Linked DNA regions of Caenorhabditis elegans. The protein of the gene in region 1 purifies or fractionates together with the protein of each later gene. This does not show direct contact. Each region holds a gene or a part of one and is shown in the gene's direction. Other genes may lie near its edges.

Region 1 (7,374 bases):
AACAAAAACTAAAAAACGGAGAAATGAGATTGGAAAACGATTCAAGAGGAAAATAGACACGCATAAAAAGGTTCGAGAGCATATTACAATTCAAAAAGGTTCTAAAATGTATTATTACATAACTTTTTAAATAAAAAATAAAGACTTTCAACAGAAATCCTTGAAAAACAATGATTCTCGTTTGAATTTATTCTAGAAAATAAATTCGCTTCTAAAGGCGCACACAATTTCGCAACTGGGTCTCACCACGCAGAGACATTCTACGCTTTTCGGGGAGGATTTACGCGGTGTTTCAAAATTAGGTTTTTCATTATTTACATTGTTCCGCAGTAAAAATGCCCCAATACACCCTTTTCGGGAATAAGACGATGCAAACGATGCGCGGCCGCTGCCAATGCAGCATCAGTTGCTGCAAAAGCAGCTAAGAAGGTAAGCGTTTTTATTTGAAAAAAATTACCGGGAATTCAAATTCTTTGCAAGTTTTTCCAAATTGGGATTTATTTGAAATTGCTCAAAAATGTAATGCATTTTGCTTAATACACTCTACAGTGAAAATAACATTTTAAAACATTTACAATTAAGTTGACACAATAATTCCATGTTGTTAGCTTTCCCGTAGTTAAAAATTGTGCGAGAGATTGAAATTTGTGCGAATATTCGCCTTTTCAACGAAACATATACAAACTAAGTGGATCTGTGTTTTTATTTGAATTTCTGGGAATTAATTTTATCCTGAAGTTATGTATAAGCCGAATAGCTCTTTTTGTGTCGAGCAAGCGACTGCAATTTTCCACAATTTCCATTTCACAAATTTTAGTGGTCACTGCATTGTGTTCTTCTTTATCATGGTTGTCTTCATATCATCATTGATTCGGAAACTAAATATATATCAACCGGCTGCACGCCTTCTTTGCCGCGAATACGCAGAATACTACTATTCCGCAGATCACGACTGAGAAAATGATATTTATGACAAGGGAATGAGTTAATATTAATAATCAAAGAATTATTATAATTATCACGAAGTGGTTTCATATTTTTAATAGTCACGTGACTCGTCATTTCTTCGTTTTTACCTCGGACTGGCATGCCGCATTTTTTTTTTCATGAGCTATGAGCGCATTTTTTGAAAAATGTTTCTGCAATCAGATATATAAAACGTTGCCTGCCATAAAAACACAACTTGTAACCGCTGTAAATCATTAGCCTTGTATCATGTTCCACGTCATAAAATTTACAGCATTCTATAGTCTTATAGATATTGATCTGCAATCTGTCCTTGAATTCCTTGATTAACAATCAATTTCATCTCAGTTTTCGTCGTCATAAACAATCTGCCCGTGTCTCGCTCCGCCCATACATTTCATTCAATCTCCTTCGAACATTTTTCAATTCATTCTTGTTTTTTGACCACTAACCTCTTCGTTTTCTAATACCTTCTGTTTCAAAGCGTCTAACAATAATATATTTTTGTTTCCAGATGAACCGATTGTTGAGCAGTGGAATGTCTGCAGCTACCTTGCAGACCAGAATGGCGTCGCAATTGCTGATCAACGATTCAAAGTACGGATTCCTGAAAGAGCTTGGTCTCACGGAGAACAACGCCGGAGTCTTTCATGGAAAATGGGCGGCGAGTGGACAAGTTGTTCAGTCATTTGCTCCAGCAAATAACTCCCCTATTGCTAATGTAAGTTTCAAAAACATACCCTAAACGTTTTAAAACTTTCAAATTCCAGGTACAAAATGGAAACGTACAAGACTATGAAATCGCCATCTCTGAAGCTAAAAAGGCTTATAACGATTGGTGCGAGGTACCAGCACCACGACGTGGAGAAATCGTCCGTCAAATCGGAGACAAGCTCCGTACGCAGTTGCAAAACCTGGGAAAGCTCGTGTCCCTCGAGATGGGAAAAATTTCTGCCGAAGGAGTTGGAGAAGTTCAAGAATACGTCGATATTTGCGACTACGCTACTGGACTCTCTAGATCACTTGAAGGAAAAATCTTTCCTTCTGAGCGTCCAGGACACGCTCTTCTCGAACAATGGAATCCACTTGGAGTTGTTGGTGTGATTTCGGCTTTCAATTTCCCATGTGCAGTGTATGGATGGAATAACGCTTTAGCTCTTGTCACAGGAAATTCTGTTGTCTGGAAGCCAGCTCCATCCACACCATTGACAGCTATTGCTGTGACCAAGTAAGCTCGCTTATTTCATAATTGTAATCACTAAATAACTATTTTCAGACTTGTCGAGGAGGTTCTTGTTGCCAATAATGTAAATCCAGCTCTCTGTTCCCTTGTCTGTGGAGAGGGTGATGTCGGTCAAGCTCTTGTGAAGGATAAGAGAGTCAATCTAGTTTCATTCACCGGTTCATCAGAAATTGGAAAGATCGTTGGACAACAAGTTCAGGCTCGTTTCGGAAAGCTTCTACTCGAGCTCGGTGGAAACAATGCTATCATTGTTAACGAGGATGCTGATTTGAACATGGTTGTACCGGCAACAGTTTTCGCCGCCGTTGGAACTGCTGGACAGAGATGTACAACCACGAGAAGACTCATTGTTCACGATAAGGTTTACGATCAAGTTCTCGAGAGATTGAAGAAAGCTTATGCTCAATTTGAATCAAGAATCGGATGTCCATTGGATTCCAACACAATTATTGGCCCACTTCACAACCAACAGGCCGTTGGAAAGTACAAGGCTTCAGTTGCCGAAGCAGTTGCTTCTGGAGGAAAGATTGAGTACGGTGGAAAAGTTCTTGAGAGGGATGGAAACTTTGTTCTCCCAACAATTGTCACTGGATTGAAGCACGATTCTCCAGTTGTTCTTCGCGAGACTTTTGCCCCAATTCTCTATGTTCTGAAGTTCTCAACCCTCGAGGAAGCTATTGCAATCAATAATGAAGTTGATCAAGGATTGAGTTCTTCTCTATTTACAACAAATATTCAAAATGTTTTCAAATGGATGGGGTGAGATTTTCTGAAATTGTGAATTTAAAACTAACATTTAATTTTCAGACCAAAAGGAAGTGACTGTGGAATCGTCAATGTCAACATTCCCACATCTGGCGCAGAGATCGGAGGAGCCTTCGGCGGAGAAAAGGAGACCGGTGGAGGTCGCGAATCAGGATCCGACTCCTGGAGGCAGTACATGAGACGATCCACCTGCACGATCAATTACAGCAAGGAACTTCCTTTGGCTCAGGGAATTAAATTCGAATAGCTTAGTTTAGATTTTCTGTAAATATTCATTTCTCATTCAATTTGAGATGTTTTTTTTTCATGCATAATTATTCTCAGTTCCGTTCTAAAATTGCGTGTAATTCAACTCTTGTCCTCTCCTTTTGTGATTTGAATTTTTGTGCCATATCATTCCAAATGCTTAGTTTTTTTTTTAATGTTTGTTCAATAAACTTCCTTTTTTATTCATTCCACAAAATAAAGTGCAACATATTTTCAGCATATATGTCATAAAATTGACGAGACTGGTGAAAAACCGTACGCATACTTGAAAACCGATAAGCTGATTGGTTTCATCACTTTAAGTCATTTCCTAAAACTATAAATTCAATTTCACGCAGATTCTTCTCCGAATCTTCCGCTTGTTTTCTGCCCCAACGCAAGTTTTACTTTTTTTAAATACAATTATTATAATGATGGCATTTTTGTATGTTTAGGTGATGCCTGTTTTATAAATTAAGAGTTTTTTCTAAAAATGTTTTTAAACAACTTTAAACTAATCCACTTAGAAAGTCTGTCAAATTGAATTTTATTGATTGTTTTGGAAACAAACAAACCTCACAATTACAAAAACGCTTTCATTGTAAATATTGACGAATTTATCTCGAATATATTTATTTTTCTCTTAAAATAACTATTTTTACAGCATAAAAAGTGCCCGAAAAATGGCAACTGAAGCTGTCTACGGAAGTTGGGATAGTCCGATCACACCAGATCTCTTCGGAAAATGTAATTGCAAGTCTATCTGCGAGATGCAAGTTGTCGGTGGCAATGTCTACTGGATTGAACAGAATTCAGTAACTGGAAAACGAGAGCTTTACTCAAAACCAACGAATGGAGATACTCGTACACGCTGGGCTGATGGTCAATCTGTTCAAACTGCAATTCACGAGTACGGAGGAGGTGCTCTACATGTTCTTGCTGATGGATCAGTGCTGTTTGCTACGATCGAAGGAGTTTTCTATCAAAAGTCGGCGGATTCCGGAGTTGAGCAATTGGCAGAAGGAAATAATCGAATGTTTAGGTCAGGGATAATTTAAATGGTGTATAACTTTCAAAAATAAATAAAAAACATTTTCAGATTCTCCGACTTCTCAGCCACTGACACCCATGTATTTTGTGTTAATGAAACCCACCAAGCTGATGCAAAATTTCCCGAAAATCGACTAATCTCCATCGACCGAGCAACCAAGAATCAAAACGTCATAGCTCACGGAGCCGACTTTTACGCCTATCCAAGAGTCTCCCCGGATGGAAAAAAGCTTGTCTGGATGCAATGGAGCCTTCCAAATATGCCATGGGACGAGACATCCATCCGAATGGCTGATCTCAAAGGTGGAGAATCCAGCAATGAGGTGACGCTGAAGGACGGAACTGGAAAACAAATCAACTATTCCGAACCAACTTGGGATGGTGATGAGCTTTTAACTGTGAATGATAGCACAAACTGGTGGAATGTGTATAAATCAGCTGCAGAGCCAAATTCCGTCGAGAAGAACCTGAATCCAATTCAACGAGAGATCAGCTACCCGCTTTGGCAGCTTGGTTTCAGAAATTATGTTCTGAATAAAAAATATTTGGTGAGAATTTTAGATTGGAAATTCAAAACATTCTTCAAATATTTTAAACCTAAGTTTACAATTTTCAATATAATTAGTTGAACTAAACACAAAAATTCGAATTTTTAAATTGACCTAATGAAATTTAAATATTTCAGGTAATGAACGCAGACGGAATTTTGTATGTCCGATCGGGAGATGTTACTGTAGAGATTCCAACTCCAGGCTATACTGTATTTGGATATCTTTCACTCGACCAGAATGGTTCTGATCTTTTCGCAATTGCTTCTGGACCAAAACGAGCTTCAAGCGTTATTTCCATCGATCTCGCGAACAAAAATTTCCCATTAAAAGTTCATCGCGAATCCCGAGATTCTTCGGAAATCGACGCTCTCGAGATTTCGGAACCAGAAGAATTTGTGTTCAAATCGGATGGAGTTGATGTTTCTGGTTATTTTTATCCACCGAAAAACTGTTCATATTCTGCTCCAGCTGGAACACTTCCTCCAGTTTTACTTCTCGGACATGGTGGCCCGACGGCTCCAGCTCAGAATAATTTGGATCTTAAAAAACAGTTCTTCACGTCGAGAGGTATTGCTGTTTTTGATGTAAATTATCGAGGATCAACTGGATTTGGAACTGAATTCCGGAGAATGCTTTATAAAAATTGTGGAGTAGCTGATAGAGATGATATGTTGAATGGAGCAAAAGCACTTGTTGAGCAAGGAAAAGTGGATGCCGAAAAAGTTCTGATCACTGGAAGTTCATCTGGAGGGTAGGAATTTAATATTATAGTCATTGTTAAAGTTTTATAAATATTTTTATTCAGGTATCTGATTCTGAGCTGTCTTATCTCACCGAAAAATATCATAAAAGCAGCAGTTTCTGTGTATGGAGTTGCTGATCTATTGGCTTTAGATGAAGATACTCATAAACTGGAAAGATGTTACAATGAGATGCTTATCGGAAAATATCCTGAGCAAGCGAGCATTTACGAAGAAAGAAGTCCCATTTATCATATTGATAAAATTAGAACTCCTATTGCATTCTTGCATGGAAGGGAGGATACGGTAGTACCGATGAGCCAATCTATCACAATGTATGAGAAGATCCGTGCTAGTGGAGTTACAACTGCTCTGATGCTTTTCGATGGAGAAGGACATGGATTTAGGAATGGACAAGTGATCAAGGAAAGCACCGAAGCCACTTTCTACTTTTTGATGAAGGCCGTTGGAATTGAACCATCAATTAGTTCGAAGATCGAAATTGTTAATCCGAAGCATTAGATTTGTTTTTGTTTAAATTGTTATCTATAAAATTTCAGCTTTTAAAAAATGCATTGCTTTATTTATTTGAAAACCAAATAAATTATAGAAATTAATATTCACAGAGAAACTGAAGATTGGATATCACGACGCGATTAAATAGTAGAAATTATGATTGGGAAGGATCAACATTGATTTGCCTATTGCATGTTGGAGAGGACAGTTGACAGACGTTCGTAGAATGTAGAGTAGAGAGTGGTGGCCTGGTAGATGCTCGAAGTGTCGGCAAACTCGCTGAAATCAAGAAAATAAATGATGTGATTTAAAAGTTAAATCCCTACCGAATCGAGTGCATAGCCAACTGTGGGCATCCTACATCGACAGTCTGCAAGCCAAGTTTTGTGGCAAGAATCGGTCCAACCGTCGATCCACAAGGAGAATCATTGCGAACGACGACAACTTGAAGAGGAACTTGAGCTTCGAATGCAACTTGCTTGAGAGCAGCGTGTGTGGTTGAAGTTGTTGCATATCGTTGATTGACGTTTACTTTGACGACGACTCCACCATGGAATGCTGGACGATGGTTCTCTTCGTGTTTTGCCGAATAGTTTGGATGCGTGGCATGAGCTTGATCTGCAGAGATGAGCATGCTCTTTCCGATTGCTTCTTCGAAAGCGGTTGTTGAGCCTCCAGCAGAAAGACGGCGGAGAACGAACTCCGTGAAAGAAGAAGATGCTCCCATCGCGGAATCCGATCCTACTTCCTCGTTATCGAAGCATGCGGCAATACGAATTTGTGGGTCATTCTTGAATGACTCTCCAGTTAGAGACTCGAGAAGTCCACTTATCGCAGTGTATGTTCCAACTTGGTTATCAAGACGAGCTCCAGAAATGAATTCATCCTCCATTCCAACAATCGCAGCCTTGTTTGTATCGTAAAGGTAGAGATCCAAATCAACGATGTCTTCTGGCTGACATCCAGCTTCCTTCGCGATTAATCCGAGGAATTGGGGATGATGATTGTTGGTAATGTTTCGTGGATCGGCAAAACCAGTAGACTCGGGTTTCTGTGGTGCATTGATTCCAGCAGCAGCGAAGGTTTCCAGAATCGGGCGGAGCTCAGTTTCCGTGTTTGGTTTGAATGTTGTTCTGAGAAATAAATTGCAAAATTAGGACGATAGTGACAAATTTCAAATACCTGTCGGTCTCCAAATGAATCGCCAAATTTGGAATGAAAAGAACTGGCTTTTTCACGTCGATCAGCTTGTGTTGAAGTTTCTCTCCATTCTTGACAATAACCAATCCAGCCACCG
Region 2 (7,854 bases), on another chromosome or scaffold:
TCCAAAAGTCAAAATAAAAAACATAAAGGTCGAAAAACATATTTTAATTTGATTTTGAACGGATTCCCATCGTTTGTTTTTTATTTATAGAAACAATCACGTTTCATCCACCGCAATTTGCAATATACAATGTAAAAAACTCAGAACTGCGGACAATTAAAAGAAGACAGTGGTCAGTTAATATTTTTGAAATATTCCCCAGGAATCGTTTCACAGGAGAATATTTACTGTAATAAAATGAAATAGACAGTTTAATTATGATAAGTTTCAAAAAACTACATTATTGCTAATGAAAAACCTATTAGAATCCTGATGAGTACTTAAGTCAAGCAATGAAAATATGGAATATTGGAGCAAACAAGTAATTGTTTATTGTCAAACGTCCTACCTGGTCCCAATTGTTCAGATTTAAATATGTTACAGTCGCCTTTGCCATTTCACTTGCAGATGTCAGTGCAACTGAACCGAGTGTGGGAAATTGGACACGATCAGAAAGAGCGTCATCTCCAGACATATGAGCAATTATTGGAACGTTCCACCTAGGCGCGAGTCTTCCAATAACCAACATTTCTGAGAAAAAAGAATTACTAAATAACTTGAACATTCTCAAAAGCATTACCATTATTACAACCGGGTCCAAAATACACTGAAGCATTTTTCAAATAATGAAGGAAAGCAGCATGTTCAACTCCCGAATACTTGTTGCAACTTTCCATTGTAAAAACACTAAAATTGGAAAGACTTGTTTTTTTTAAATTCAAACTTCTTACGTTAAAGTATAATTTTGTGGAAGAATATTTCTCATTTTCAAATCGTCTGCGCACATTTTTAGAACATCTGGTTCGTGTGCTATAATAGGGTTCGTGGGGTGAAGGTGACCTATTCGAACAATCCCTTCTGCTGAAACAAAACAATAATTGTTTTATATGTATTTTATGAAAAAGATTGCTCACAACTAAGTGTAGTTTTCACATGTTGATTGATTTCGTCATGACTGATTTTACTGATAGATCTTCTTGACTCCGCAAGTAGCAAAGAAGAAATGAAAAATAAATATAAACGCATTTATCATCTCATATGAGGGGCATTTATCCCGCAAACAGTAACAATTCTTATATATTTTTTACAGGAATGTGTTGATGGAACGAATTCCAATATATGTAGAAGTAAAATGTAAAAAATTCGGAGTAGTTGGATTGATGAATCTCCGAAGGAGGTGTGAAGTCTTATGTAGCCACTCACTTCTTATCATGCCGGAAGGGCCCATCGGAAGTGGATAGATGGGGTTTAATGGAAAGAAGGCAAGTGTGTGTCACAACAAGCGTCGAATCCTACGTTTTTCTGATGTACACTGATGACTAGGTTGTTGTGAATACATTAATAGGATCTCAGCGTAGAACTATGACACTGTCTAATGCAACATCATCGAAACACACGAAAATACTTTTAAAAAAACAAGCCGAGTTTTTTTTTTGGTAGTTTTCAGAATTTTTAACAGTGTTATTCATTTACCAAGTGTACTCCCTATTAGTTATACAGTGTGTAATTTTCTTGCATTTCTAAGAGTCATCCTAATATTAGAACTTCAATCAGTATTTCAATAATTCGGGACAAGACAAGGCGTACCTTGTAGAATTTTCAGATAATTCTTCAATTCCTGAAAAAATAAACCTAGACTTGTTCAAAACGTTTACACATGTTAGCACTTGTCTTGCTTTTTACAACTTAAAAGGCTACTAGAGGTAATACGGGGAATGATTGTGAGACCAATTTTAATAAAATACGTTTCTATGAATCTCAACTTGGGATCAAATAAAAATATATATGCAAAGTCTTTCTGAATAAAACATGGTTATACAATGATACGCGGTAAACTATGAAAAACGGTAATTGTAATATTATGAACCAGCCGTGGTCCGCACCTTCGGCGCGGCCCCCGACTTCTAGGGCTGAAAATCAATTTTTATGAAACTACCGTAACCCTACAGTATTCCTACCGTACCACTATTGTACCACTACAGTACCCCGACTATATCCCTACACTAACCCCAACTCACTATCCCTCCAGAAGTCAAAACTTCACAGACTACAAAGACTACATAGACTACAAACTATGGACACACAGAATAAGCGCTTTATATTATATATAGTAAATTATCATGAAGAACAGAGACATATGAAACAAAAATATCAATCAAAAAACCAACCAGCTTGTGCTCAAACATCTTCTGTTTTTTTAACTTAGTAAATTTTAGTCACGCTAACAGAAATTCCGTACTCTATGAATTTTGTGAACTACAGATTCTAGTGATTCTAGATTCTAGTGTATTAGTTTAGTTATAGCATGGATTCGATTGCATTTTTTCAAATGTTTTTTTTTTTGAAAAATAAAACGAATTTTTGCTCTTCAGTTTCCCAAAGGAATTTCCACCTCACCATCAATCTGTGCAAAGTTCTCCCACTTGATAATCTTTTTTAAATGATCTGATATCAATGATAACAAAAGATAAAAAATATCGGACACAAATCTCTGAATTTTCTTTTTATCTCTCAATATGTCTGAGAGCGCATTGTTTCAATTCTCAAAAAAACCACACTGCAACATTGTCGTAACCTCTTGGGTCAAGTACGCAACGTGTATGCAGATCGGCCCTCTTCTTCTCTTCCCACCGCACACTATTTCACTGTGCACATTTACCTTTTTTGACTGTTTCTTGAGTTCTGAGATGGTATCGTTTTTTCTCGCCGCCTTTTTTCTCGACATTAGCCTTCTAGAAACACTGGACAACGACGCAATTTCGTCCTAGCTGATATGAAAGATGACTATCTTCGACCGACCTTGGCACACACACACACATACACAACATACACAAAACGCTCTCACATTCAATACAGCCACACACACTAAGCGCGCTCAGACACACACAAAAACGGACAGGTCGACTACACCGATTCGGCACGCCTCCATTAGTTTTCCTCGCATTCTCTTTTTCATTACAATGCACTTTTGTCGTTCTTTTCTATCGAAATCCTTTTTTTTTTAAATTTTTTCCATATCTAACTTTCCAGATATGGCTTTCAACAACCTTATCCGCAACTTGGCTATCGGAGATAACGTCTACAAATACTTTGACTTGAATGGTCTCAATGATGCTCGTTACAGTAAGTATAACTATTTTACATCCTATTCTCAATCTATCTAAAATATATCTGCATATATTCAATTTTGGAACTTTTGTAAACGAAAAAAAAAACAGCGAATTTCGACGAGCAAGAATAAATTCATTATGTTAAAGTCATATATAAATCATTTTCTTTAAAAACCTTCCCAAAATTTTCAGACGAGCTTCCAATCTCCATCAAGTACTTGTTGGAAGCCGCAGTTCGTCATTGCGATGAGTTCCATGTATTGAAGAAGGACGTGGAAACCATTCTTGATTGGAAAAACAGCCAGCGTAACCAAGCTGAGATTCCTTTCAAACCAGCACGCGTTATTCTCCAAGATTTTACGTGAGCTTGAAAATAAATTACCAAATTTATGTACATCAAGCAATTTTCAGTGGAGTTCCAGCCGTCGTAGATCTTGCCGCTATGCGTGACGCCGTTCAAAATATGGGTGCTGACCCGGCCAAGATCAACCCAGTATGCCCAGTTGACCTTGTCATCGATCACTCCGTGCAAGTCGATCACTACGGAAAGTACGTTCTGCGCAACCTGGTTTATACATTTATTGTATTTTTTTCAGCCTTGAAGCCCTTGCCAAGAATCAGTCCATTGAGTTTGAGCGAAACAGAGAACGCTTCAACTTTTTGAAGGTAAGGAAAGGTGAAAATGCCACTTTCAGAGTTTCACTGTCACGTTTTACTCTCCCCATCACTTTTCGGAAAATCACGCTATGCATTTGATTGCCCTTATCACTACTTTGTTCAATGAACACACAAATATTCAGATAGCTTAAATGAAATTGTATTATCAAATTATTTTCAGTGGGGATCCAAAGCTTTCGACAATCTTCTTATTGTACCGCCAGGATCTGGAATCGTCCATCAGGTTAATCTTGAATATCTTGCCAGAACAGTGTTTGTTGGAAAGGATGGCGTTCTCTACCCTGACTCCGTCGTTGGAACCGACTCCCACACCACAATGATTGATGGAAGTGGTGTTCTTGGATGGGGTGTTGGAGGAATTGAAGCTGAAGCTGTGATGCTCGGACAGCCAATTTCCATGGTTATTCCAGAAGTTATTGGATACGAATTGGTTGGAACTCTCAGTGATACCGTTACCAGTACCGACTTGGTTCTTACAATCACAAAGAACCTTCGTGATCTCGGAGTTGTTGGAAAGTTTGTTGAGTTCTTTGGAACTGGAGTTGCATCGCTCTCCATCGCCGATCGTGCAACAATTGCTAACATGTGCCCCGAATATGGAGCAACAATTGGATTCTTCCCAGTCGATAGCCGTACCATTGACTACCTCACTCAAACCGGACGTGATACCGATTATACTCAACGCGTGGAACAATACCTCAAGTCTGTTGGCATGTTCGTCAATTTCACCGATGACTCCTACCGCCCAACATACACTACCACTTTGAAATTGGACCTTGGAAGTGTAGTGCCAAGTGTCTCCGGACCTAAGCGTCCACATGACAGAGTTGAGCTTGCTTCTCTGGCTCAAGATTTCTCCAAAGGGCTCACTGATAAGATCTCCTTCAAAGCTTTTGGCCTTAAACCAGAAGATGCCACTAAATCTGTCACAATTACCAACCACGGAAGAACCGCAGAGCTTACTCACGGGTAAGACTATAAATTAGAAGTACATGCAAAAAATAATGTTTCTTCCAGATCCGTAGTTATTGCTGCCATCACATCCTGCACAAACACCAGTAACCCAAGTGTCATGCTCGCAGCTGGATTGGTTGCCAAGAAGGCTGTTGAGTTGGGATTGAATGTCCAACCATATGTGAAAACATCCCTCTCTCCAGGATCAGGAGTCGTCACAAAATACCTGGAAGCATCTGGTCTTCTTCCATACCTTGAGAAGATTGGATTTAATATTGCTGGATATGGTTGCATGACATGCATCGGAAACTCTGGGCCACTTGATGAGCCAGTAACAAAGGCCATCGAAGAGGTATTGTTGAAACTACTGTTTTCTTTTCAAAATAATTGTTTATTCAGAATAACCTTGTCGTTGCCGGAGTTCTCTCTGGAAATAGAAACTTTGAAGGAAGAATTCACCCACATGTTCGTGCTAACTATTTGGCATCTCCACCTTTGGCTGTTCTTTACTCGATCATCGGAAACGTCAATGTTGACATTAACGGAGTTCTTGCTGTTACTCCTGACGGAAAGGAAATCCGACTAGCCGACATTTGGCCAACCAGAAAAGAAGTTGCCAAGTTTGAGGAGGAATTCGTGAAGCCACAATTCTTCCGCGAGGTGTACGCTAACATTGAGCTTGGATCCACGGAGTGGCAACAATTGGAGTGCCCGGCTGTCAAGCTTTACCCATGGGACGATGCCTCTACTTACATCAAGAAGGTTCCATTCTTTGATGGAATGACTAGCGAGCTTCCATCACAATCCGATATTGTAAACGCACACGTTTTGTTGAATCTCGGTGACTCGGTAACCACTGATCATATTTCTCCAGCTGGATCAATCTCGAAGACCTCTCCCGCCGCCAGATTCCTTGCTGGACGTGGAGTAACGCCAAGAGATTTCAACACTTATGGAGCTCGCCGTGGTAACGATGAGGTAAGAGTTTATTCATTCAATATATGATTTTCTAAAAACTTTGAATTTAACAACACATCACGTTTTTTTTTAAATTTCAGATCATGGCTCGTGGAACATTCGCCAACATTCGTCTTGTTAATAAGCTTGCGTCGAAGGTTGGTCCTATTACACTCCATGTGCCATCTGGAGAAGAGCTCGACATCTTTGACGCTGCTCAAAAGTACAAGGATGCCGGAATTCCAGCCATCATTCTTGCTGGAAAAGAATATGGATGTGGCTCATCTCGCGATTGGGCTGCAAAGGGGCCATTCCTCCAAGGAGTCAAGGCTGTTATCGCTGAAAGCTTCGAAAGAATTCATCGTTCCAACCTGATTGGAATGGGCATTATTCCATTCCAATATCAAGCTGGTCAAAACGCTGATAGTCTCGGACTTACTGGAAAAGAACAATTCTCAATTGGAGTTCCAGACGATTTGAAGCCAGGACAGCTCATTGATGTGAATGTATCCAATGGTTCAGTTTTCCAAGTCATCTGTAGATTTGACACTGAAGTCGAACTCACCTATTACCGCAACGGAGGAATCCTCCAATACATGATCAGAAAGTTGATCCAATAAACTGTTATTTTAGCTTAAATTTTTGAAAGTCAATTTTTTCTATTTTTAGATAACTATTTACTTTTCGATGCATCAATCCTTCTCTATTTTCTGTGATATTTTATGAACATGTTTGAAGTCCAATAAATTTGTGATTTGGAGCAACGAAATAAATCAATACTTTTTATAATTGGGCTATAAAACATGTGGATGGTCAAATTTATTTTAGTTTTGGCGTCTCTGTTTTGCTAAAACCACTTAAATTCGTAATATTTTACTAAAACTCAACAAATAACGTATTTCTACTATTTATAGGAGAAAGAAATGTGCTTCCAGTTTGACAGTGTTTAGGATATAACATTTTGCAACTTTTTCTTAAAGGTCGTCATCACTAATTGTATTTTTTGTTCTCTCAGTCATAAGAGTATAAATAAATAAGAAAACATCTTCATTGAGAACAACAAAATTGGGTGTAAAAGCTCAAACATTCTAGTTGTTTGAACAAAATGAACAGAGAGATTACGGTATTTATTTGTACTGAACTGACTTTTTATAGACTAACATTTCAGCAGTTCATTCGTACTATTCAGTCCCATTTAAAAGTGCACACTCACCCAATAAAATCTCAGTTGCCCTATAGCTAACATCACTAAAGTAATATGAGACCCTTGCCAGCGCAAAAGATATTTTTATTTCAAAATAAGTAAATTTTGCATAACTTTACGTTCTTTGCCAGAGAAATGAATGAAGACTGTAATAATTGACCGCTTAGCCGTTCATCAAACAAATAGAAGAGTCGGGAGGAAGTATAATCTTTTGTGAGTAAATGCAACACCTTTCCATTATTAGTCGACACTTTTTGATTTGGAATTAATTTCTGAAGCTTTCCCTCTACAAAATGTTATATTATTCTTGTGATAAAATTTCTCATGTTCCACCAAAGGAACACGCATGTAAAAAATTTACAATCCATGTATCAAGGTTATTCACGCCATTTTTGTGTGTTTTGCGATACTTGACAAAGAAAAATCAAGAGGTGTTTGAAGCAAAAACAATTCTTCATGTTTTTTGTTTTCGCTCCATTTTGAAAACGAATGCAACAATCGGTTAAGCCTCTTTTCTTTCACACAATATTTCGTTTTTGCGGACTCATTACTTTTTCAACTTCACTCATCAAGTGTCGCTTTTTCGTTTTCTTTTCCGGACTTAGTAAGTCATAACTCTCATTTTCTTGATGACCGCTAACTGCAACTGTCACTTTAAATTAATTAATGAATGAAGTTCTGCTGCATTCTTTTTTTCATTCCCTACTCCATTATCTTGTTTTTTCGATGCATATTTCGAATTATTTGTAAAATAATTATATTTAAATATCTTGAATATTAACTTGAAAAAACTAAACCTTAATAAAAAAAAATTATCGTTATTCAGTATTTGTTTTAAGAAAGTCAAATTTATATATATATATATATATTTTCAACATCCTTATTTGTAATTTTCAAAAATTAATTGAAAAA
Region 3 (6,382 bases), on another chromosome or scaffold:
GAGGTGAGAGGAGCTGGAGCTGGAATTTCCTGGAATGGGGAAACCAGGTCAATTAATAGAAATAAGAAATAATATAGGAACACACATTGAGAATGAAAAAAAAATGAAAAAGTAAGTGTTAAAACACACACACACAACATTCGTTGCTCCATGCTCTTCACAATGAGTAGCACCACAGTTGATGGACGTGGGTGCCCCCGGGGGAGAAACGGGGGGCGCCGCCGCCTTTTTTTTTTTTGAGAGCGCGCGGCAGGGCAAAAATGTTTGTTGTTTATGCTTATGCACATAAAAAATGGAGAAGTGAAAAGGTTTTTTGATATTGAGATTTTCAAGGTTTCGAGTATTGAATGTAATTTTGAAAACATGCTGATTTGAGATTATTGAATTTAAAATTAGAAATAAAAAAAACAGATTTTTATTATCTATCAGAATTACGTCATTGTTAGAGGTGGAGTAGATCAGGGGTGCGTGGCAAATTTTTTTCCGACAAAAACGGCAAATCGGCGAATTGCCAGTTTGCCGATTTGCCGAAAATTTTCATTTCCGGCAATTGCCGGTTCGCCGGGAATTTTAAATTCCGCCAATTTGACGGTTTGCCGATTTGCCGAAAATTTTAATTTCCGGTAATTTTCCGGTTAGCCAACTTGCCGGGAATTTTCAATGGCGCCAATTTGCCGGTTTGCCAGGAATTTTCAATTCCGCCAGATTGCCGGTTTGTCGATTGGCCGGGAATTTTAAATTCCGGTAATTTGCCGGTTTGCTGATTTTCCGGAAATTTTCAATTCCGCTAATTTGCCGATTTGCCGGGAATTTTCAATTCCGCCGATTTGCCGGAAATTTTTAACTCCGGCACTTTGCCGGAAATTTTCCGGTTAGCTGATTTGCCGGAAATTTTCAATTCGGCAAATTTGCCGGTTTGCCGGAAATTTTCAATTCCGCTAATTTGCCGATTTGCCGGGAATTTTCAATTCCGCCGATTTGCCGGAAATTTTTAACTCCGGTACTTTGCCGGAAATTTTCCGGTTAGCTGATTTGCCGGAAATTTTTAACTCCGGCACTTTGCCGGTTAATCGACTTGCCTGAAATTTTCCGGTTAGAGAATTTGCCGGGAATTTTCAATTCGGCCAATTTGCCGGTTTGCCGGGAATTTTCAATTGTGCCAATTTGCCGGTTTGCAGATTTGCCGGGAATTTTGAATTCCGGTAATTTGCCGGTTTGCCGATTTGTCGGATATCAATTTGCCGGAAGTGTTTTTTCCGGCAAATCGGCAATTTTCTGGTTGGCCGATTTGCCTATAATTTCAATTCTGGTAATTTGCTGATTAGCCGGAAAAAATCGTTTGCCGCCCACCACTGGAGTAGAGTCAATTTTTTTGCTTTAAATAATAGAAAATGGGCCGTAATGACTAAATTCAACAGTAAATATTAGTAGGCAAGAATTATAATAACAGTTCAGTTTTGAGTTTAACTACCGTACCCTTACAGTACCCATACATTTAATCAACTCATATGAGTAGGGTAATAGGTGTAAAGAAGCTCTATACAAAGAAAAACTAATCTCATTCATTTTAAGATGTTCCAAGAAAATATTGGTTTCCGTTTCGCATGTTCATATATTTCCAATAACTAACATCTGGATGCAATGCAGGAAAATATTATTGCGGTTAGAATTTCCTGGAAGACGTTGGGAAGATGGGTATTTGTTTTTCAAGCTGGACAATTTTTAGATTATTTGTTTTAGAGCAGTACTTGGATTTGGGGAATTTATGAAAACCTGGAAAACTTAACAGGTAAATAGCTAAATTTGCATAGGGGTTATTTAGATTTTTTTTCGGCAATTTTGTCAGTTGTCAATTTTCCTATGAATAAATTATTTTTGCTATGCAATCTATGCAACAAAAAGAACAACGAAAAACTAACGGAAAGAAGCCCAGAAAAATTATTTAATTAGTGAAAGCGTCGAAAGTTTGGCTCTTTTCTTTTATTTCCAATTAACATATATTCGGTCAGAAAATTTGTAGACTCTATGTGATCAATGTTCTTGACTAGTGAAAAGGTACCGACTATGCATGTTGATAATTGGTAAGTGAGCATAGTTGGTACCTACAATTTCTACGTCACAACATCTTGACCGTTTTTCCCCCACAACGGGAGTGGCCTGTGAGCGTATAGAGAGAGTTGAGTTTGTAGAGATACACAGGCAATATAACTGCCTCCTACATATTTTGCGAGAGAGTGACCTTTAGCAGGTGAGCCTGTACAACAGTTTTGGAGCTGACAAAATCTGATGCTGAAAAAGAATTCGTGTGTCCTGCTGTGTGGAAAAACTGTCAAGATGTTGTGACTTAGAAATTGAATGTACCAATTACCACATGCAAACTAGAGTGCGAATTAAATTATTTCAACTTTCGGTCACTGCGGCATAACATTGACATCATGGCAAAAGTTCAGATTTTCGTTAAATTTGCATTTTTCTCCAAATTGTGAATCAACTTAAAGGGGGAGTAGAGTTTGTGGATATTTTGCTTAAATAGACTAAAACTGGTCCAAAACCACCGAATTTCATAATGAGACATCACAAAAAATTTCGAAAACTTTCGAAAAAAAAAAATACACGAATAGGAACATTGCAATCATTTTTAAATTCTTTTTTATTCTGCTAAGTTCCAGGTAACCCCAAAAAAACTCATGTAGCCAAAAATCTGATCTTCCATTTCACTTCTGTCTTTTTTAATGTCCAATTAACATTATTTCCTAATTAGATAAGAGTGGCAGATCAAGAGCAACCTAAACCAAGTTTTGCCAAAATCTTGCTCAATTTATGGCCCGACACGAGAAAAAGCTAGAGTTAGCACAGAACAGGCATATTTTATTTCTCCTACAGTGTAATACTTGCACGAAACGAAATTATTGTTAACAATGCAACTATTCAGAACCAGCTAGAGCAGCTGACAATGGATGAAACGAAGCTTTTGTCTGAAGTTTCTGGCTCATCGATATCAAGCACTTTGTGGTTCTACAACACTGTGATTATGAACAGCGTTGTTGAACGTCTCGATTTTTTTGATATGTATGTAAAGTCTTTTGATTTTTTTTAGCTTGAATTTTATTTTTTCAGACAAGTGCTCCGTAAAATTTCTTATGGAAGCCGTCAGTGCATCGACCTTATCAAACCAGACCATAAATTACTCAAAATCGGCATTCATGTTCAAAGCATTGGGTGCGCACTTCTTGAGATGTTTACCGAATCCACAAACCGAAAAGTTTCATATAAGGCTTCAAGATTATCCAGAAAATCTAGCGAGTTGGATTACGGCAACTTTTCAAACGACTTGTTCCTTATTTTGAAAAATCAAAAATCTGCTTTGGAAGAACTTAAAATGAATTTTATGCAAGTTGATGAAACCAGCGAGTCAAGTTTCAAGGATGTTACGGAAGAAGAAAAAAAATACATGGATGAAATTGAGGGGAATCCCCAGGAAACAGAAAGTCATTCAATCTGGGACCAGAATGAGAATCGATTTTTGAAATCGTTCAAAGATTTGCACGCCTCGCTGGGTCGATTGCTGCCAGTGGAAAAGTTGGTTGTCACAACAAGAAACCAAAAAACCATAGTGCAACTGCTCCAATCCGTGGATCCCTCTAAGCTGAACAAAATTGAGTTTGGAACATCTTTCGACGTACCTGCAAGTGATGTATGGAGCATTGAAGAGTTTTTGGTCATGGAACAATGGAGGAATGCGAAAGAGTTGACAATTATTAAGCGTGTTATCAAGTGTGATGTTGAAAATCTTGTTCACTTCAGAAAAGTTGACATAATTTTGGATTCGTTATCATTGAAAAATGTTATATATTTGAGAGATGTGAGTTCGAATATCTCATGTAATTTTTAAAAAAAAATAATTTCAGATGTTCCTAGTTTCACCGGACTTTCTCCAGTTCAAGGTCACATTTGTGAACAGTGACGTAAATAATTCTATATTTCAAGAAGGATTTTTGGGAATTCCGTTTCGCATAGTTACCGATTCTACAAATAATCAACCTAGCATTTGGTTTTTCAATTGCATGAACGACACAGATGATCTACAAATTCGATATTATCAAAATCTTAAAAAATTCATGTTTAATCGTATTCCGAGGGAATCTAGTCCGGCTATTCCGAGGGAATCTAGTCCGGCTAGGTGCTAGAGCTGTTGTAAAGGTCACTTCCCTGTTCCTCGCCAACGGGACGAAAAGTTGTCCCTAATGATTTTTTTTTCAAATATTAATTTTTCACCTGATTTAAACTAGGGCTCCCATGAGGTCGCCGCAAAGGCGCCTTCGCCCGCCTCAGCGGTCGCCGCGCCGGCCTCACGGCGTCACTCTCGCCTTTCACTGAATTACACATAAACTTTTATTTTCATTTCTTATATTTTTTTTCTAAATTTTCAACGAATTTTTGAAAATTAAAATTTAAAATTCACGTCATTATTATTGAAAGCGGCGAACGGCGAAGGCGAAGGCCGGCCGGCGTGAGGCCGGCGTGAGGCCCGCATTTTGCGCCTCACTCAGCTGGGAACCCTAATTTAAACAATACTTTCATGTGCATGAATCTTTTGTACGTTTAAATATAATTTTTAATGGCGTGGATATAGATATTTCACGTACTATTTTTATAAATAAATAAATTCACTTATAATAAATTTAAACATTTATTTCTTAATTATTCTCAATTTACTGTGCACCTTTTCATATTTTACGGTAAAGTTAAATGTATCTAAATATTTGTTTAACCTGAAAATATTGTGCAACATAAAAAAAAAAAAAATATATATATATACAAAATGGACGCACTTTGACAAAATGAAAGCATAAATCAATAATAAGTCTCACTATGAGAAATGATTGAATAATTAAATAAATAAAAAATTTCAAGCTGGAAACTTGCTGGAAAAGGTGATAATTGAACTTTTTCTTAATTAAGAAATTTTCTTCAAACGAATGTTTCCGCGGTATTAAATTTTTTTATTGAAGCAAAAAGCGCAGAGATCGAAGATTTTTACATAAAAATTCCATATATTCCAACAAACATGGAAGAATTTTGAAAGAAGCACATGAGAAAAAGCACCGAATAATGATGAATTTTTAACCAAAAAATTCGAAAAAAATCACAAAAATACAGAAAAATTGAAGAAGCCGGGTGATTGAAAAAAAATCAATAAATTCATAGAAGAAATTGAGCAAATGATCCGGGGGGCGGGGAATTCAATATCTTACATTAAAAAAAACATGCTAAAATGTGAGAGTACTTCGTGTCAAGACCCGTTAAATTTGAAGAGAGGATTTTTTTTATAATTTTTTAGAAAAAAAAAGGAAGATTAGGAGATTTGAGGAGGTGTCCTACGGGATCCGTTTACCTGAAAATATTGATTTTTTTTTATTTGTAACTATTTCCGTGCGAAATTTGAAATTTTTACCGCCAAATGGAAAATTTTTGAATTTTCGGCGCCAAAAACTATATACTCGAAATTTTTGAAAAAACCGACAAAATTATAAAATTCAAAATCTGAAAATTGGCACAAACGAATTTTATTTTACTTGGCGGCAAAATGTAAGAATTCAAAAATTTTCGAATTTCGCGCCAAATTTGAAATTTGTAAAATTAATAAGTTTTGGCACCAAATTGAAAAATCACTTTTTGGAGCCAAGTTCCAAATTTTCAAAGTTTTAAATTTTGACTTTGAATTCAAAATTTTAAGTTCCTACATTTTGGCACCAATTTAAAAAATTTCGAGATTTTTTAAACTTTTAGTGCAATTTCAAAATTTTCTTTATGATTTTTGCGTTGAATTCAAATAAATTTCGCATTTTTAATTTTCGGCGCCAAATTTAAAAATTTTTAATTTATATTTCTCGAATCCAATTTTTGAAATTTTAATAATTTTTTAAATGTATAATTTTTGGCGCCAAAATCAAAACTCCTCCCACATACCTCATTTTCCAGTATGCAATTCCATTCGTTATTATCCGTTGATGACGTGGCAACCACCGGCGGGGGTACAAAACACTCGTAGGGAGGCGGTGCCTCGTACATTTTTGGCGGAATTTGATCTACCGGACGGTAGAGCGCAGATGGTGACTCATTCGATCGAGTTATCACTGAAATTGGTGGAAATTTCAAACTTTCCGTGAAAAAGAAAGAACTTACTATGAATACTCTGATACATTGGACACCCGGGAATCTTTTTGCAAACTATTGCTGTCACAATTACCAGTAGAGAAATGACAAGTACTGAGCCAAAGATGATTAGTGCCAGGTAGCTGAAAATATTTCAATTATGAATTTCATGAGTTTTCAGCACTTTTATTAGGTTTCTGTGGTTTTCAGCTTCAAAATGAGCCCC
Region 4 (10,211 bases), on another chromosome or scaffold:
TTATAAAAGAAAGTTGAAAAGCTAAAAGACAACCAAAATGAGAAATACGATATTTCACTTGTACATAACAATTTGCTGAAACTGCAATTAAATTTTATAGTCTCACGGCCAATTTGACCCGAATTTGCAATTTTGAGCTGGAAGTAATCCTGGTGGCCCGACTGTCTCAGTAAATTTCATCTTGTTCAGTTCAATTGTCCTCCACAGATTCACAAAATCTTGTGCATGTGGTTCGGGTGTTCCCGAAGAAACATAATTTTCTAGAGCTCTATCTTGTACTGGAGCTCCTCAGAATCCAAGTGGTCCAGCAGCACACCTCAAAAAATTTTTTTGGTATTCAAAAACTATTTTTCAACAGCCTACAATATAAAAGAAATAAATTTAACTTTTATATTCATTCACAGCATGGAGCATAGAACTGACAATGAATAAAGCAAAGAATCATGTTCACTTTCATAAGATCTAGTTGAAACTGTCAAATCCCACGCTTCTAGAATTCAAAATTATGCAATTTTATTATGCAAATTATATAGGTTTTTCGTAGATTTTTGTTTTTTGTCCAAATTATTAATGTACTGAGCATAAAGAAATTGCACTTGTACATAACAACTAGTTGAAACGGTTTTTTAAGTTTACAGTCTCACAGACAGTTTCAGCTGAATTCGCGATTCTGAGCTTGGTTTTCATTTCAAAATTCAATTTTTATTATTAGGGTTCATTCTGTTTTTTCGGGCAAAAAGGAGTTTTTCAAAAAATTGTATTTTGTAGTCGTAAAAATTAATTTAAAAGTTATAATTTTTTTTGGGTTCAGAGCTCAAAAAAAGTTTTTTTTGCCGTAATGAACTAAACGGAAAAAGTCTTAAAAACTTTTATAAAAGCTAGTTGAAACCTTAAAAAACGGTGCAAGAATTGAAAAAAAAAACTAATTTCATAGTTAAGATAGAAGTCGGGTTAGCAACCGAACAAAAAAAAGAAATTTCTTGTACATAAGCTGAAACGGTAATTTAATTTTTTTTTATTTTTAGGATGTTCCCGATGAAACATAATTTAGTGGAGCTCCGTCATGTTCTGGTAGTCCAGCAACATACCTAAAGTATTTTTTGTATTGTTTTTTGTTTTTGGACGAATTTTAATTTTCAGTCGGGGAGTTTAAAACAAAATTCGTAGTTTTTTTTTTTGGTTCTTTTACTAAGATTTTTACTAAATCAAAAACAAATGCCATTTTTATAAAAACTAATTGAAACTGTCAAATTGTAAAAATCTGTTTTTTTTTTCAAACATTGTGATTTAATTACAAACTTGCAGTGCCGTTTACATTCCATATTTGGATTGGATTAGAATTGGATCTTCCATAATAGGTAGGCGCGGTTTCAGGGACCTGACGCCTGCCTCGAATCGCATTTTTACGTTTTTTTCTCATTTCAATAATTTTGTTGAAAATCAAATTAAGATATGAAAAAACAAATAGTTCGTGTATGTTTTAGAATAAGGCGCGTATTGAGGCAAGAGGCAGGCGGAGATCGCCTTAAGGTCAGGCAGGTGGGAATTTGAACGCCTTCATGGAAACCTTAGTTTTTGTAATTAACAAGACATTTTGTAATTTACAGCAAATATCAGAAAAAGATTAATGAGAAATAAGAATGTTCACTAGTACATAGCAGCTAGTTGAAACTGCGATTTTATTTTATAGTCTCACGTTCAATTTGAGCCAAATTTGCGATTCTGAGCTTGAAGTAAAAATTGTGCAGGTGGTTTGGGTATACCGTGAGACTATCCAATAAATTTACAGTTTCAGCGTGTTGTACATAAGAACACGCTGAAACTGTAATTTAATTGGATAGTCTCACGGTCAATTTGACCCGTGTTTCGGGTGTTCCCGTAAGAAACATAATTTTCTAGAGCTCTATCTTGTACTGGAGCTCCTCAGAATCCTGGTGGTCCAGCAGCACACCTGGAGGACTAAAGTGCTGAACTGTTCTCTTAAATGTTCTGTTTTTTTTCGGGCCAAAAACCAAAAGAAAACTATATTTCAAAAAAAAAACTTTTTTATTTTTATTTTTGATCAAAAACTTTTTTTGGTAAGACCTTCCTCCTGTATTTTTTTTCAATTTCAAAAATTCTGCAAGAATTCAAAATGTTGTAATTTTAGTCGCTTCAGTGAGGAAATATAAAACTGCATCTACATAGCAACTAGCTGAAACTGTAATTTTTTATTTCATAGCCTCACGGTTAATTTCCACTAAATTCGCGTTAAATCCAATGTTCTATTTTATAATTTTTTATGGATGCTTTAAGCAAAATTTGGTATTTCTTTTCGAAATTCTTCGGACCAAAAAACAAACAAAAAACAGAAAAAACTGTTTTTCCAAAGATTTTAATTCGTTTTACAGTTTTAACTTACAAATGTGATGTAGGTAGTAAGCAACAAATAAATTGCAGTTTTATAACAACTAGTTGAAACGGTCAAATTTATAAGCTCTGAAAGTTGTGTTTCCAATAAAACTCTTAATATATATCACCGATTTATAACAACTAGCGGAAACAGTAACTAAAAAATTAATTTTATAAATAATTTTAAAGTCCCAATGTTCTATTTTCGAATTCTACCCAATCGCGAGATTCTGCATTCAGATCTTATCATCTTTCTCTTCCAAATACACACACACACACCTTGAAACTAACCAATAAAAATGCAATCATCCGACCGTTTCGTCGTCGTCAAGGATCGTAACCTGGAACCAGAAGACGAGAATCATCAAAACAGAGAATTTTATGGCGGTGATCTATTGGGCGGGAAGGAACATACCACGTGGGAGAAGGGGGAGGAGAAGTCGAACATTCACGAGAAATCTTTCATTGCTGATCAGAATAAGTTCGGTTTTGTTGGCAAATTTTGAGGTTAGTTTTTTGATGAGTGCCGAAATTTTACCGAAATTTGGAATTCGGCAATTGTCAATTTTATGAACTATACCAATAAATTGTATTAAAACTTCTAGAATGCTCTAGAAAAATCTGGAAACTACTAGAATTTTCTAGAACAAAACTGGAAACTTCTAGAAATTTCCAGAGAAATCTATAAACTTCTGTAATTTTCTAGAAAAATGTGGGAACTTTAAGAATTTTTTAGAAAAATCTGGTAACTTCTAGAATTTTCTAGAAATTTTTTTTTAAATTTTATTTTTTAAAAATTACTGTTTCATCACATTGAGAAAATGTTTTTACTGTTGATTTTTCTAATTTCGTATACTGTTGACTCGGTTTGTGAAGACTCAATTTTCCAGCATGAACATCCCATCTCTCTTCGTCGACCCATTCTCTCCGCTCCTCGAGCATCCAACGGAGCAACGTGCCAAGAATGTGGCTCACGCACCAAAGCGTCCGTGTAATCTTACACAGACAGAGAAAATGGTAATAAATTTATCTTTGAAAAGATAAAAAAAATGTACTGTTTCATTAAAAACGTTTAGGCACTTGACTTGGAATTTTTTCTTTTCAAATGAATTTTTTGAAACTGCAAAAACAGTTTCATTGTTTCATTGAGCGCTTTAAAGAAGACTGTGAAACATAATCTTTGACAAGTTGGCTGAAAATGAGCCTAAACTAACAAATTTTTTAGAAAAATTTGGCTAAACTCTGAAATTTTTTGCCTAGTTTTTAATAAAATTAGCTTTTTTTTGTTGCATCAAGAAGTTTAAATGCTACACTGACTAACTAATAGAACTTTTTACAAATTGAAATGCAATATTTGGAACAGTGAACATTTTTACCTTTAATTTTTCAAATCTACTCCTAATTATGGTAAACTATTTGCAATGAGATCAATGTTATAATTTATTGTTCCGACATCTCCCGGGTTGCACAGTGTTCTCTGTGCTCGGCGCAATTTGGGAGATACCAATTAATTGAATGAAGTTGTTGTGCCAATTCTAGTTCAGAAAAAAGTAAGAGAAGACTGTAACAAAATTTACAATTTTTTTGCAATTTTGGAGCAGTTTTTGAAGTCGGTAGGCTATGTAGTTTTCGAGATCAAGAACAATCAAGAAGATCAAGAATCAGATCAAATTTTAATTTAGGAGCTGAAAAGCTGTTGGCTATTAGTTACAAAAGTCTGTTTCACTTACTTGATAAAATACAAGTGGAATTCCAAAATTTATTGTTTCGAACTTCAATGCAGGTCCCAACCAGCTTCAACTATAAAATTCTTCCAGCTCGCCGTCCGCAATGCTCTCCGCTACATTCCAAAAGAGCATCACGTCCTTCTAGCCACCGAGTTCGCTGAAGAGCTCAACACCTATGGACACATCTATGGGTATCGGTTCATGCCAAACTTTGATCTATTCGCGCCGCCCGTCTCGGAGATCGGAGCTCATTGCGAACAAGCATCGGCTATCATTTTGATGATTCTAAACAATTTGGACAAGCGGGTTGCCCAGTTTCCACAGGAATTGGTGACTTATGGAGGAAATGGTCAAGTTTTTAGGTTAGCATGGGAATCTTTCTGAAATGCTTGAGAAATGATATTTCAGCAATTGGATCCAATTCCGTCTGGTTCTTCGTTACCTCTACACAATGACTGACCATCAAACTTTGGTGCTCTATTCCGGACACCCATTGGGCCTATTTCCATCAACCCCGGACTCGCCAAGAATGACTGTTACTAATGGAATGGTAGGCCTTTGGAAACTAGGATGCTTCGTACATTTTGACATTTCAGATGATCCCGAGCTACTCGACAAAGGAGCTGTACGACAAGTATTTTGCATTAGGAGTGACGCAGTACGGACAAATGACTGCTGGAAGTTTCTGTTATATTGGACCACAGGGAATTGTACACGGGACTACGGTAAGCCGTTAAATGGAGTTTGGCATTAAAACACCGTATTACCGTCAAATTTAATGAACACACTAAAACAGTCAAATTTATTTTGGAAAATGGGCAAAGCAGAAGGTTTTCAGTATACAACGGTTTTAGATGGAATTTCAAAGGCAAAAATTCAAGGATTTCAAGATTTTTGTTTTTTTTTCTGAATATGATTCTTGTCATTTATATAATCCAAACTGCACCAATGTAGTAGAGAAGTGACTCAAAGAAAACATGTTATTTCTAATAACTAACTCAGCCCTAAAATATACGGACACTGTGAAACATTAAATTTTTGTAAATTTTATTTTTTTTTTTAAATAGTTATATAATGAACCAAAGCTGAAGTTTTGGCATTAAACACCTTATTACTGCCAGAATATATGAACACACTGAAACAGTAAATTTTATTCTGGGATATGGGCTACACAGAAGGTTTTCAGTATACAACGGTTTCAGATAGTATTTGAATGATTTTTGTTAAGTTTTTGTGTATTATTCTAGTTATTTTATAATCCAAACTCCACCAAAGTAGTAGAGAAGTGGCGTCAAGAAAACTTGATATATTGCTTTAATTTATAGCGGTGTTCTCTTGAAAACCTTCCTAATAGCTAACTCTCTAAGTCCTAAAATATGTAGACACAATGAAACAATAAATTTCTGAAATTTGTAATTTTTTTTTCAAGAGTTACATAATGAACCAAAGCTGATAATATTTTGTCCCACTGAAAAAATTTACTTACTTCAACTAACCACAGTATTTATTAAAGAGTGATAATTTAACAAAAATTTAGTTCCAGACACTTAGAAGATGACAAAATTTTTGATTTTAGCTGAAAATGAGACCTTTTTTATCAGAACTTTGAACCGCCATAACTTTTTTTTTTGAGAAATTTTCAAAATGTCTCGTTACGAAATTCAGTAGTTTTTGGGGAATCTTGGGTCGGAAAAAGCAAAATCTCAGATTTCGGTACTCCACCTTAAATAGAGTCGAATAGCTATCTTACAAAGCCCTAAAATATGTAGAAACTGTGAAAAAATAAATTTTTGTAAATTTTATTTTTATTTTTTCAGTAGTTACATAATGAACCAGAACTGATAACATTTTTTTTTAATTTGAATTTCGTAATTTTCTTAAGGTTTTTCAAAATTGACTTATTAGAAGCAGAAAGTTGAAAGTCTTTTCACTTTATAATATTTTAAAGAAATCTAAATGATTCGAGACCAGATGCAACAGATTACAGCTTTTCTACCCATATAGAAAAATAGTGACGTCACTATATGAGTTTTTCTCGATCTATTCTTCTTGTCCGATTAATTTCATCACAACTCTCCTGAATTTCTGAACCCCCTGAAACAGTAAAAATTCTCCAGATCACAGTCCTCAACGCTGGTCGTCGTATGGGACTGGATTCCCTTGCTGGTAAGGTTTTCGTAACTGCAGGACTTGGAGGAATGAGTGGAGCTCAACCAAAAGCAGCTAAGATTGCTGGATGTATTGGAGTTATTGCGGAAATTAGTGATACTGCATTGTTGAAACGTCATCAACAGGGATGGTTGGATGTATATTCGAAGGATCTTGAGGAAATTGTGAATTGGATTAAAGAGTACAGAGAGAAAAAAGAGGCAATTAGTATTGGATATTTGGGGAATGTTGTTGACTTGTGGTGAGTTTTAGAAAATTTTACTGTTTCAGAAAGTTGTTAAATTTTTTTATGAAAGTGTGAAAGGCGATCTACGGAGCAAGAGGGAAAATAATTAAAGGAAACGAGAAAAGCGGAAAAAATTGTAATACAAATAATATATCTCATAGTTTCGGAACCAAGATTTTTTTTAAATTACAGAATTTTTTACAAAGATTTTTCACAATTAATAAACTTGGTAAAACATTATTCACAAAAATTCTAGACAAAAAACTATGAGTTTTCAAAATTCCAGGGAACGGCTCGCCGAGGAACCGGAATGTCTTGTAGAACTGGGAAGTGACCAAACTTCTCTCCACAATCCATTCCTTGGAGGTTTTTACCCTGCTGGACTCACTTTTGAACAATCCAATCAAATGATGACTTCTGATCCTGTAAAATTCAAAAAACTTGTTCAAAACTCTTTAATCCGCCAAATCGCCGCCATCGACAAGATTGCTGCAAAGGGAATGTACTTCTGGGATTACGGTAATGCTTTCCTTTTGGAATGCCAGAGAGCTGGAGCCAATTTGCTCAGAGAGGATGCTCAGGATGATAAATCGTTTAGATATCCAAGTTATATGCAGGATATTATGGGGTAATAATTATTTGAAAAGAGTACAATTTAAATAAAATAAATTCTGTTTCAGAGACATCTTTTCAATGGGATTTGGACCATTCCGATGGGTTTGTACTTCTGGAAAGCCGGAAGATTTGAGATTGACTGATCAGACAGCATGCAAGATTATTGATGAGTTGAAGGATACTGATGGTGAGTGCTTTTATGTTGTAACAAAAAAATCGACTGTTTCACTATGGCTATATGTATGTTCACTATTTTGAGAAATTTGATGGGTTCAGTGTGTGTATCTTTGAAATTTAGTACTAATCTCATAAAATTGAGCATTTGTTGGCGAGAAATCATATATATGCTGTTTCATATTGTCCATAAAACTGCCGACGAATTTTGACTTTAATTTTTAATATTTGTTAGGAAATTTAGGGATGTGAAGCTGTTGAAAAAAAAAAAGAAAAACGAATAGCCAGTGTAATATTCTTGAAACCGTAAATAACTACTAAATAAAATAGCGTACTGTTTCGAGAAGTTTATATAATTTTCGCTTTTTGAAAGAGGTTATTCCGGAAATATTGCTAAAAAAAAGCAGAAAACTTCTACAATTTCGCATAGTCATTAAAGTATGTTCGATTATTTTATTTTATTAATTTTGCTGAATTAAAAAATAACATATTAAAGGTGGAGTACCGAAATTAGTGACTCTGTTTTCTTAGACCAAAATGAGTCCAAACCTACCGAATTTTGTAATGAGACGTTCTGAAAATTTCTCAAAAAAAAAAGTTATGACGGTTCAAAGTTTTAGAAAATAAGGCCCATTTTCAGCTAAAATCAAAATTTTTTCCAACTTCTCGGTGTCGCAACGTCTGGAATTGAATTTTCATTTATTCATCACTTTTTAATAAATATTGTGGTCATTGATTGGGCGTTTATTCGTTGATTTAACTACATTTATGGTCTTTGGGGCACAAATAAAAGTTACATTTTGTGCCTCACTGACCATAAATGTACTTAAATCAACGAATAAACGCCCAATCAAAGGCCACATTATTTATTAAAAAGAGATGAATAAATAAAAATTCAATTCCAAACGTTGCAACACCGAGAAATTAGATAAAATTTCGATTTTAGCTGAAAATGGGCCTTATTTTCTAAAACTTTGAACCTTCATAACTTTTTTTAAAGAAATTTTCAGAACGTCTCATCACAAAATTCGGTAGTTTTGGGCTCATTTTGTTCTAAAAAAACAGAGTCTCTAATTTCGGTACTCCACCTTTAAGAGTAGAAACATGTAGTTTTAGGGGAACTCATCAGGTTATTTATCAAATTTATGCTTGGAAAAGTTGAAAGTCTACCGAAAATGTCTTTTCCGCTGAAAAAAATTAACATCGTTCCCGGAAACCCGGGATATGTCGTACCATGATGAACAATTCACAAAGTGTCGACCGCAAAGCAAGTATACCAAAACGAGAGATAGGAGATGCGGTTTGAAAACAAGTTGAATTTGAGAATTTTTCACTGTTTCCAACTTTGCATTTTAATTTGTAACGTATTGTATTAGACAATTTGTAAAAAATTATGTTTTTTATTATCTTCAAAATACTATGATCCTGAATGAATTATTTGAAATGGGTACCCTTAACTTTAACAAATATTCGCTCTTAAAAATTCTGAGAAAATTTGCAAAAAATCACCACGTCTTCTTCTTGAATGGGTACCACTGAAAATTAATTGGGTTGTTATTTTTATTCCGAAATATACTCACACTGCTGCCAAGTTTTGAAACTTTCTGTTTCTAGCAGAGACATTGATTTTTTCATTTTGAGAACCAAAAATCGAATCATTATTTTTTGCTAGTTTAATAAGGCTGAGCAAATCAAACCACCAACTCCAAATTTCAAAGCACATTTATCATGTTTCATAGACTCTGTTAAACCAACGTTTCAGTCCCCGAATACGTGAAACAGCAATATTTGGACAACAAGAAATGGATAGAAGAAGCCGAGAAAAATAAGCTCGTCGTTGGCTCACAGGCACGGATTCTATATTCGGATCGTGCTGGAAGAGTTGCATTGGCTTCTGCATTCAATGAGCTCGTGAAATCTGGAAAAGTGTCGGCTGCAATTGTAATTTCAAGAGATCATCATGATGTTTCTGGAACTGATTCTCCATTCCGTGAGACTTCAAATGTTTATGATGGAAGTGCTTTTACAGCTGATATGGCTGTACAGAATTGTATTGGTAAGTGGATAGGGGCTACATATTTAAAAAAAAACAACAATTTATAATTTTTCAAAAATTTCACTGTTTCGCATTGTTCACAAAAATGAAATCAATATTGAGTAAAACTGATCCACAATGACTGTTTCCTTTCCATTTCAGGTGACTCATTCCGTGGTGCTACATGGGTTGCCCTTCACAATGGTGGAGGTGTTGGATGGGGTGACGTCATCAATGGAGGTTTCGGTATTGTTCTTGATGGCTCAAGTGATGCTGCCCGCCGAGCTGAAGGAATGCTCAATTGGGATGTACCTAATGGAGTTACTCGTCGTTCTTGGTCTGGAAATGCAAAGGCTCAGGAAGCAATTCAACGTGCTGAAAAACAAGTTGATGGGCTTAGAGTTACATTGCCAGTGGAAGCTGATGAGGAATTGTTGAAGAAGTTGAAATTTTGAATTTTTACTTTGATAAATTGAATTTCTGAAATTAATTTTTAATTTTAAAAAATACTTCGTTCCAATAAAAGTTTATTATTGTGCTTCCTTTTTGCCCAAGTAATGACCGATTTTCAGAGCAAAAGATTACTGTTTCATTTAAGTTATAATTCTGTTATGTCATACCGGTACCAGTTTGGTTGTACCTTTAAAACTTTGGCACACATTTAATTATTTCAAACTTTAAAAAATGTGAGTGATGTTTCAAGTAGCCCATATAGGCAAGACTGCTGGATTGGACGTGATTTGTTTTTTTTTTCTAAAAACCCTCTCTTTAATATGTACTTATCTCTGATTTGTGTTTTCACGGATTGATTTATTACAGTGTCGAGTATACACAGTAAAATTCACTGTTGATAAAATATAGAACTTCGATATTC

What was found.
Region 2: the proteins of dpf-4 (region 1) and aco-1 fractionate together in Caenorhabditis elegans (co-fractionation; one large-scale study listed by BioGRID). This does not show direct contact.
Region 3: the proteins of dpf-4 (region 1) and R05C11.2 fractionate together in Caenorhabditis elegans (co-fractionation; one large-scale study listed by BioGRID). This does not show direct contact.
Region 4: the proteins of dpf-4 (region 1) and uroc-1 fractionate together in Caenorhabditis elegans (co-fractionation; one large-scale study listed by BioGRID). This does not show direct contact.

What each region holds. Positions count from the first base shown.
Region 1 is NC_003281.10:5,855,729-5,863,102, forward strand, and holds dpf-4 (Peptidase S9 prolyl oligopeptidase catalytic domain-containing protein), read left to right. Parts: upstream 1-3,579; 5' UTR 3,580-3,617; intron 3,618-3,884; 5' UTR 3,885-3,903; coding exon 3,904-4,262; intron 4,263-4,319; coding exon 4,320-4,818; intron 4,819-4,955; coding exon 4,956-5,572; intron 5,573-5,626; coding exon 5,627-6,083; 3' UTR 6,084-6,180; downstream 6,181-7,374. Other genes in the region: alh-9 (Putative aldehyde dehydrogenase family 7 member A1 homolog), read left to right, coding at 1,481-1,687, 1,737-2,194, 2,243-2,968, 3,017-3,221; dnpp-1 (Aspartyl aminopeptidase), read right to left, coding at 6,263-6,356, 6,404-7,210, 7,260-7,374.
Region 2 is NC_003284.9:11,336,805-11,344,658, forward strand, and holds aco-1 (Cytoplasmic aconitate hydratase), read left to right. Parts: upstream 1-3,069; 5' UTR 3,070-3,071; coding exon 3,072-3,162; intron 3,163-3,341; coding exon 3,342-3,510; intron 3,511-3,560; coding exon 3,561-3,698; intron 3,699-3,745; coding exon 3,746-3,815; intron 3,816-3,987; coding exon 3,988-4,796; intron 4,797-4,844; coding exon 4,845-5,133; intron 5,134-5,180; coding exon 5,181-5,759; intron 5,760-5,839; coding exon 5,840-6,358; 3' UTR 6,359-6,523; downstream 6,524-7,854. Other genes in the region: Receptor-type guanylate cyclase gcy-9, read right to left, coding at 389-570, 620-726, 771-900, 954-1,065. UniProt on the Caenorhabditis elegans protein: Catalyzes the isomerization of citrate to isocitrate via cis-aconitate. Has probably no RNA-binding activity.
Region 3 is NC_003282.8:2,055,683-2,062,064, reverse strand, and holds R05C11.2 (DUF38 domain-containing protein), read left to right. Parts: upstream 1-2,953; coding exon 2,954-3,069; intron 3,070-3,117; coding exon 3,118-3,862; intron 3,863-3,908; coding exon 3,909-4,187; 3' UTR 4,188-4,687; downstream 4,688-6,382. Other genes in the region: R05C11.4 (Protein shisa-9), read right to left, coding at 5,357-5,395, 5,971-6,137, 6,187-6,299.
Region 4 is NC_003282.8:16,535,394-16,545,604, reverse strand, and holds uroc-1 (putative urocanate hydratase), read left to right. Parts: upstream 1-2,855; 5' UTR 2,856-2,898; intron 2,899-3,237; exon of another isoform or gene 3,238-3,258; intron 3,259-3,281; 5' UTR 3,282-3,282; coding exon 3,283-3,408; intron 3,409-3,686; exon of another isoform or gene 3,687-3,711; intron 3,712-4,151; exon of another isoform or gene 4,152-4,178; intron 4,179-4,208; coding exon 4,209-4,480; intron 4,481-4,526; coding exon 4,527-4,668; intron 4,669-4,714; coding exon 4,715-4,843; intron 4,844-4,847; exon of another isoform or gene 4,848-4,868; intron 4,869-4,879; exon of another isoform or gene 4,880-4,900; intron 4,901-5,196; exon of another isoform or gene 5,197-5,217; intron 5,218-5,447; exon of another isoform or gene 5,448-5,468; intron 5,469-5,834; exon of another isoform or gene 5,835-5,855; intron 5,856-6,154; exon of another isoform or gene 6,155-6,175; intron 6,176-6,235; coding exon 6,236-6,528; intron 6,529-6,595; exon of another isoform or gene 6,596-6,616; intron 6,617-6,799; coding exon 6,800-7,141; intron 7,142-7,193; coding exon 7,194-7,315; intron 7,316-7,395; exon of another isoform or gene 7,396-7,416; intron 7,417-7,520; and 17 more.